Arabidopsis thaliana: one gene and its partner. The protein of the gene in region 2 interacts with the protein of the main gene of each other region in a pairwise test. Each region holds a gene or a part of one and is shown on either strand. Other genes may lie near its edges.

Region 1 (3,933 bases), on a different chromosome or scaffold from region 2:
CTGGTTTAAATGCACTAATGCATTGTTTACTGAATTGTCTTTTGTTTCATATATTTGTCTCTACTATACTTTTACTAACTTTCCCACCTCCAATTAAAAAAATTATTACGAAATAAACAAAGTCATATCTCTCTCCACAACATAATTACTTTATTCAACAAATATTAATTCCTAGTCATATTTTAGCTCCTCTTCTTCCTTATATATTACATACATACATTTTCTTTAGAAGTCATTACCATCAACCCATCCCCTAGAAAAACACAGAGAAAAACAAATACAAGAATACAAAAACCCTCTCGACGAAACCGAAGTATCGAAATGAGAAACAAGAATGGTAAAAGAGGTAGCGTTGAGCCCTCGGCGAGGACCGTGGCGTCGGTGGTTGCTAATGGGAGGTTTGAAGGAAGATCACCATCGAGCGACACATCATCATCACAAAACTCGTGCCTGACGAGGACGGAGGAAGTGAAGGAGGAGGTTGCATCGTCGTGGGTTGATGAAGAAGAGGCGCCGGAGATGGTGGTGATGGGATGTCGAAGTTGTATGATGTATGTTATGGTCTTACAAGAACGTCAACGTTGCCCCAAGTGCAAATGCACCGACTTGATCTTCTTTTAGAGAATTTGTTTTAAGTTATTATTCAATTTGGACTTTTGAGTTTGAGATGATGAATTTAATTTTCTTTGTAAAGTCCTCTATATAAATCATATTGTTTAAATTATAATCTCTATTTTAATATGTTAAATTGACAGACAGATCATTTCTGTTTGTGGCCGTCCCTCTTGGTTCATTTTGTTAAGTTGTCCATTTTCATGTTTTAGTACTATGGAAGCCAATGACATGAACGAGGATGGATTTTCATCGGAGTTGAATTCGATTGTTTCAAACGCTAGTTATGGCGTTTGCGTTTATATTTATTTATTTGTATACTCCAGAGAAACATAGTTTTTCAATGTAAATGAAAAACGCCAAAAAAAATAGAAAGTTTATTTTTAAAAATTACAAAATATAAATTTAAACACAAGTAAAAAAATCGACACGTCTCGAATTAGGGTCTTAAGAATCAAATTGGTAGTATGCTAATAATGGTATTGCTTTGGTTTCATCGGCATTCAATCCGATGAAATTTTCAATAATTAAGGTTAAAAGTTGTATCTTCATCAATTAAAACGTTATTTATTCAAAACAATTCACCATCAAATTCAATAAAATTTAAGAACTTTTACAAACTTCAAATATTAAATTATTTAAGAAAATATTTTTAAACCTAAATTTAGTGAAAAAGTAGCAACTAAAATTTGTTTTAATGTATTTTATGACATTTTTCTATTTATAAGTACTAAATTTTCAAAAATCTAATAAATAATTAATTTCTGTTTTTCATATATATTAAGGCACATGCGACGACATATATACGTGACAACATTTTATCCTAAAGTTTTAACATGATTTTTGAAAAAGAAATTTACATTTTACGATAATTTAGTTGCAAATCAAGCGAGTTTTAATATTTCAATAATTTTCATGTATATAGAAATTTTGCATTGCTAGTTAAAATAATAACAAATAGATGTTGTCAAAACTCGAAAATAAAAGGGGTGTTTCTGTAGTTATCATAATTTAAGGAATTATATGATAGAAAAACAAATTTGGGCGGTAAATTTGAAAAAAATAACTTTTTCCAGTCTCCCCAAAAGTACCCGATTTGCCAAATTTGACCCTCCCATTTTAGCTTTCTGTCTATTCACCAGATTCTCTCTATTCGATTCTCCCTTTACTTCTTCTCGTCTCTCTTCTCTGCTCGTCAGATCTCAAAATCAATCGGATATCGAAACCACAACTTCATCAATTATGACTCTTGGCTCAGGAGGATCTAGCGTTGTTGGTATAAAATTTCGATTCTTTCGGGTTTGTTCTCGTTTTTTGATTTTGATTCTAGGGTTTTGGAATAATCCCTCGTTTGTTTTTTTTTCTCTAGGGTTTTGGTGAATTCTTCTTTTGGTTTTATTCGTTTTGATCAATAGGTGTTGAGATTTCTCATAGGTTCTATCGATCTAGTATAAAAAATTGTAGCTTTGTCTAAATTGTTCGCATATAGCTTGATCTGAATCAATCAATTTTAACAAATCGCTGAGAATGATTTGCTGATGTCTCAATTCCTGAGATGGGTTTAAAATGCTATTCCTGAGTTTCTTATTGTTTCTAAGACCTTAGCTAGGAATGTTTTCATCTTCTCTATAGCTCATTGTTAACTTTGTTGAGTGTTATCTTATTTTAGTCTTTGTGGATAATGATTAATATGATATGTTCTGTTCTCTGCTTTGATTAAAAAAAGTGATTGCTTGTTTTCATTTACTGATATGAATTGTTTTTGTTACGCTTGTTATTGCAATATAGTTCCGAGGAATTTTCGGTTGTTGGAGGAGCTTGAACGTGGGGAGAAAGGTATTGGGGATGGAACTGTGAGCTATGGAATGGATGATGGAGATGACATCTATATGCGTTCTTGGACTGGCACCATCATCGGTCCTCACAACGTAGTTATATCTTTTTCTTTATCTGCTAACATTCTCCTTCGTCTTCATATATGTTAACAATTGTTTTGAGAAGCATAGATTAATATTATTTGCATCTCATTGCTTGGAATACAGAACATCAAAACCACATTGTTTTCTAGGCATTGATCTTATCGACATACAATCTCTTAAGCTTTATTTGAGCAGATTATGCCATTGTTGCTTTTGCTTGTAGTAACAGAGATAAATTTTATGTCACAGACTGTTCATGAAGGTAGAATCTATCAGTTGAAGCTCTTTTGTGACAAAGATTACCCGGAGAAACCTCCAACTGTCCGATTCCATTCACGTGTCAACATGGCTTGTGTCAACCACGAAACAGGAGTGGTACGTATAAACTCACCACCGCCCTTCCTTTCTCTGTTTTGTTTCTTTGGATGCTCTGTAATTTTTTTATGCGTATGTGTATAGGTGGATCCTAAGAAATTTGGGCTACTTGCAAACTGGCAAAGAGAGTACACAATGGAGGATATACTGGTACAGTTGAAGAAGGAAATGTCTACGTCGCATAACCGTAAGCTTGTTCAACCTCCGGAAGGTACTTGCTTCTAGTTACTTCTGGAATCTTCTTCTGGTTTGCTAGAAAATCATTGCCCCTTCTAATACCAAAGTATGTATCTGGGGGTCCTCCATTGTCGTTCTCAACGCTTTTTTTTTTTTAATTCATCAAAAAATGGTCTGTGTGGATGGTATGGTGATGATGATGATGTTGTCCGATTGATCATCTGAAGTTTTATCATTGTGTGCAAATATCAAAAACAGCTTCTCTTCCTCACTCCATGTGTTCAATCTTTTGAATTTAACATTTTGTGTCAGCCCTTTTTTTATATATAAATGAAATCTGCTATATTTAATTGGTTATTTGTTATGTAATACACCAAGGTTAAAACAAGAAAGTATCATAAAAAATCATGAATCTTTGTAATCCGAACTAATGGAAAAAGAAGCCATGAACAGCTTCGTAACCCTTATTTTTGTTTCTGTGATTCATCTAAAGCCAATGCTTACGGTGATTAATAGAACCTTTGAAAACTAAGTGTTACTTTTTTCTACAATTAGCACACTTCTTATTGATGATGATGCACGTCGATTTGCATGTACTTCTTGATGTTCCGCGTCGTCGTTCTTGACATAGAAACAATCATTCTTCGACATGTAGACTTCTACTTTTAGGACACTGTTTAACTTGCTTGTAAGTTGATTACGAGTGGTCTTAACCATAAACGGACTCCATGAAAGTTGATTACGAGTGGTCTTGGAAAATCAACTTATTAAATAAATGAAAAAAGTGGTTGAACGTAATTAAACCTATAACACATTTACACATTGCTCAGAAGCTCAATTAATTTATGTT
Region 2 (4,352 bases):
GTATTGCAAGTTGCCGTCAAAAACAACCAGCAGCCTGTCTGGTACTTCGAGGATAAGATTGTACTTAACGCTCTTTTCTCAGAAGATGGTCGGATGGAGCGCGGAACCTTCCTCGAGGTAAAAGACTAATATATGATAAAGAGTTCATTAACAATACAGCACCATGTTAGTCATTGACTAATAGTGGAGAGGGCTTATGATATTAAGATGGGCGAGTAATTAGTGACAGATTTTGTGCCTTAAGAAGCCTGGGGGAGTTAGGGTGCTGTAGATCTTAACATATGATATGGTTTTCATCGATTTAAGTTTCTAGACTCAGTAAGAACTGAAGGAAGATATTGATTTCTGATCATAACTATATACCACAGTCTTAAAAACCAGTTCTTCTGAGTTATAAAACATTTGTTTTTTTGATTAGACATGGAAATCGTTACCGGATTCAAACGAGGTGCAGAAAGAATTCCCCGGGATAACCATCACGAGCGTGGAGTCAACACTTGATTTACTCGCCGCATCAAACATGTTCTTCATAGCAAAGCGTAAGAATGGGAACCAAGACGTCCTCTATCTTTCGGCCAAGGTACCAAGAGGCATACCGTTCCTGATCGAACTAACGGCCATAGTGGGTCAACCTGGTCTGAAATGTGCAGTCAAGACTCCAACCCCTGAGATCGCTCCTCTCTTCTTTGAAGCAGTCGAAATTCTCTTCAAGGCTTGATTTGATTTTACACTGCCCTAAGGTAAGCAAATTTCTTCTTTTAGTGTATGTAGTAAGTGAATTGTTGCCGACTTCTTGTTTCTAATTTTTGTGTTGGAACCCACTCGTTTTTTTATTCTCGTAAGAGCTTTGATTTTTGATGTTGTCGTTGCGTATATGCCCCAAAAGGTTTTTGATTAAACTAGTGTGATAATGACTTATTATCAGCAAATGCTATTTTTAGTGTTCAGTGACCGACATGAAATCAAAAAGTTTCCTAAGTGGAGCGAAGAGATTCGTACACGTAAACCAGTTGAGAATTTGGTACCTTCTTCACAACAGATAGGCGTAGATAGATAGATACTGGGCCCGTAATGCGACGTAGCAATTTCCTAATATCAATATCAATCATGATTTCCTGTAACATGCGGTTACAAAATAGCTTCGTCGAAACTAATCTTCTTTTAATTATCGATTGATTATTAAATCAATTCAAAACCAAAACTAATTGAAAATTTTAAAGCTTGAGGGGGACTAATAGTAACGTGAGATTGAAGTAATGCCACCGAATATAAGGGTTGAGTAAGGGCGCTACACGCCATCACATAAAAGGGATTATACTATCAATCAACTAATATTTTTGTAACTTAAAATGAAATACCAAAGTTTCGACATTATTGGTTTATGAAAGCTCACCATTGTATTTTAATTTGATCAAAACTATACATTTTAGTTGAGACCGTAAGTACAACAAAGGTCCAAGCTTGAAAATACTTTTTTAGACAATTTTATCATTTACTAAATAGAATAATTATTATTTGTCCCCACCAAGGGTTTATACTTTATATCAGTTTATCTGTAGATAATGTTTTAAATCTGTTCATATCCAATATTTTACTAAATATAAAAAAATTGTTTTTCTGGTTAATCAGTTTTTAATTTTATTTTGAACCAAAAGTATGAATCATAATTTTTAGATTTAAGATACTATAAGTAGTGCAATCATTAATTTAAAACTTGCTTATATAGTTATAACTTATATGGTTAATATTGTATATCCCATAAAATAATACTAATTACCTTGGTGGTCAAATCATGAAAATCTTATTATAAAAGGGCTAATGGGAAATATTCTTAAGAAAATCCAGAGTTTCCTTGTACGATATGGTTTGTGATTAATGAATATAAATACAAAAAAGTTTGATTAACAACCAAAATAACAATTAAAGTAAAGAAAATTGTGATCCCTTGATTTTATCTCTCTGATAAAGTCGCCTCTTTCGTCGCAGCTAGTCTTCTTCGTCGCCATCAGAAAATTCTCATTCAACACAAAACCTCAAAAAGTTTTCCCAGAAATCCTATCAAAAGAAGGACTATATCAAGCTTCTGTTTCTGTTTTTTAGGTAACTAATGATTTTTTTCTTCTCCGTTACAAAAGTCACTTTATATTTTTGTTTTGTAGGATCACTAACTCTGTTTGTGAGGTTCTTCTTTTCTGTTTTCGTTTGTTCTGTTTGGTTGTTCTGAGATTTTTTTTTTTTTTTTTTTTACTTCTGTTTCAGCCCACTTTTTTAGTTTCCAGGTTTTACTGTTTTTTATTTTTTTAACCACTCTGTTTTCAGTTCTTCGTCTATTAGGGTTTGGTAACTAATAGTATCTCTGTTATGGTAAACCAAGTTTTTTTTTTCATTTGAAAGCTCAAGATGTTCTTAGGATCATATGATTTTCCATGAGTATTCAACATGAAATTTACTTTCTTCATAATGAACCTCATAAGTACACGAGAGTCTTTAATCTTATATTTGTCATCACAATGGATACACATATTTGTATTGCTTTAATCTCTGTGACTATTATTCTCTCATTGTTAGTGTATAGTTAGCTATGTTACATTGAAGTACTTGTGGTGTTTGAGTTTGGTTTTCCAGTTACTTAGTATGATCACAGAGCTAGATTTTGCCTCCCATTAGAGTTTCAATTAGGAGTCTTATGAATTTTTTCTGGATACTACAGGTCTTTTGGTAACCTAAAGAGCTGCTATACACTGATCTGAGAACTGTCAAAACTTTATCATACCAAAGAATGGGTTGCTGCTGTTGTCTCCCGAGTATACCCGAAGTAAAGCCTCTACGTCTTTCTTGTTTGCAGCCTTTTTGGGTTTTGGTTTTTGTTTTCTTATGTTTTATTGTTTTCTGTAGAGCTCAAGAACTATAGATGAGCATCTTCCCTTATCTCGTGCCACGCCTTCCTCTCTCTCTAATGCATACAGTTCACCTCTTTCGCCGCCTATTCCTTTAGCCATCACGAATATAAATCTTCAAACTAGTCCACCGAAATTGCCAAGAACTCAGGGCAATTCGAGTGAAGCATCCCCGGGACTCACACAAGTTGTTCCAGAGAAGAAAACATGGCATGTTGATGATCTAACTGATTTTGAGCTAAAGAAACAGTATCGAGAAGCAATCGATGAATGTCCAATTTGCTTAGAAGGTATTTTGTTTATCATTCAAAGTTACATGTTAAATATAACATTTTGGTAAATATCTTCATCTTGTTTGTTTGCAGAATATGAGATTGATAACCCGAAATTGCTCACTAAATGTGGCCATGACTTTCATCTCGCTTGCATTCTTGCATGGATGGAAAGAAGCGAGGCGTGTCCAGTTTGCGATAAGGTTTGTGTCCGTTTAAAATCCGCCATTTTCACAATACATTTTGAACTTCTTGAGTCACTAGAATCTGTTTTGACAATAGAGTCTACTTTTTGGGTATTCTTTTCACAGGAATTAGTGCTCACTGAATCATAATCGTGAACAAGAAACCAATAGCTCGGAACAAGAAGTGCGAAAAACGGTACAGAAGATTTGATATAAACAGGCATTAGGACTTACTCTGGTGGTATGATGAACATTGTTGCTCTCTACTACATTCAGAAGCTTTCACTTCCTTTTGATGATATACAGAAATTAGATTTGATTGTTTAATATTCTTTGAAAAACTCTTATGTTTAAGATTTGTTTCTGAATCTGAATTAATTCGAGAAAAGTTGAAGAACAGTTTTAGAAGAGCCTGAAAATTCAGAGATTTTACTGTGATAAAAAAGGATTCTCTGACAAATTTCTTAGATAACAGTTTTTTTTATTACTAAACCTTCTGTATAAATCTAACTCTTATGACTAAAATAATGATAATTAAAAAAAAACAAGAAACTCTAACCTTTATAACTTTTACAACAAGAAAGCCCTAAAAGCTTCTCTCTATTACGGTGAAGTGTTATGAATCTGATGAACATTGGATAAAAGCCTCGTTAACTTACTCAATGTCTCTCGAGCCGACACAGTCCCAGGATGATCCTCTCCTGAGATCGAAGTTCTTATGAAGATTGCTTTTCTGATCAAGTCATCAGCCAAACCAAATTGCCCGCCTCGTAACATCAGCTTAGCTCGAGTCTCTAGCACGGTGGCTCGAGCTAGAGCAAGTTCTTCCCATAGAATAGGGTTTAGTTGTGCACTTGTCTGAACTGGTCTCCAGCAAAGCGACTTGTCTAGCCATTTCTCTACTGGTGTCACTAGCGTTTGGTCAGCTGCTTCAAGTGCGTTTGTGCAGACCCTTAGTAGCTCCACTGAGGCTGTGCATCGCGAAAATGATATGAACG

Evidence for each region. Proteins that work in one complex are often made in the same cells at the same time.
Region 1: the proteins of AIRP1 (region 2) and UEV1D-4 interact in binary tests that used the Arabidopsis thaliana proteins (3 or more experiments, as listed by UniProt).

What each region holds. Positions count from the first base shown.
Region 1 is NC_003074.8:19,493,876-19,497,808, reverse strand, and holds UEV1D-4 (ubiquitin E2 variant 1D-4), read left to right. Parts: upstream 1-1,713; 5' UTR 1,714-1,854; coding exon 1,855-1,888; exon of another isoform or gene 1,889-1,911; intron 1,912-2,400; coding exon 2,401-2,540; coding exon of another isoform or gene 2,541-2,543; intron 2,544-2,726; coding exon 2,727-2,906; intron 2,907-2,990; coding exon 2,991-3,131; 3' UTR 3,132-3,432; downstream 3,433-3,933. Other genes in the region: AT3G52561 (uncharacterized protein), read left to right, coding at 322-621. UniProt on the Arabidopsis thaliana protein: Has no ubiquitin ligase activity on its own. The heterodimer with UBC catalyzes the synthesis of non-canonical poly-ubiquitin chains that are linked through 'Lys-63'. This type of poly-ubiquitination does not lead to protein degradation by the proteasome.
Region 2 is NC_003075.7:12,240,265-12,244,616, reverse strand, and holds AIRP1 (RING/U-box superfamily protein), read left to right. Parts: upstream 1-1,910; 5' UTR 1,911-2,155; exon of another isoform or gene 2,156-2,181; intron 2,182-2,225; 5' UTR 2,226-2,426; coding exon 2,427-2,563; exon of another isoform or gene 2,564-2,751; coding exon 2,752-2,815; intron 2,816-2,895; coding exon 2,896-3,187; intron 3,188-3,262; coding exon 3,263-3,372; intron 3,373-3,480; coding exon 3,481-3,504; 3' UTR 3,505-3,813; downstream 3,814-4,352. Other genes in the region: AT4G23460 (Adaptin family protein), read left to right, coding at 1-117, 419-718; AT4G23440 (Disease resistance protein (TIR-NBS class)), read right to left, coding at 3,958-4,352. UniProt on the Arabidopsis thaliana protein: Possesses E3 ubiquitin-protein ligase activity in vitro when associated with the E2 enzyme UBC8 in vitro. Plays combinatory roles with AIRP2 in the positive regulation of the abscisic acid-mediated drought stress response.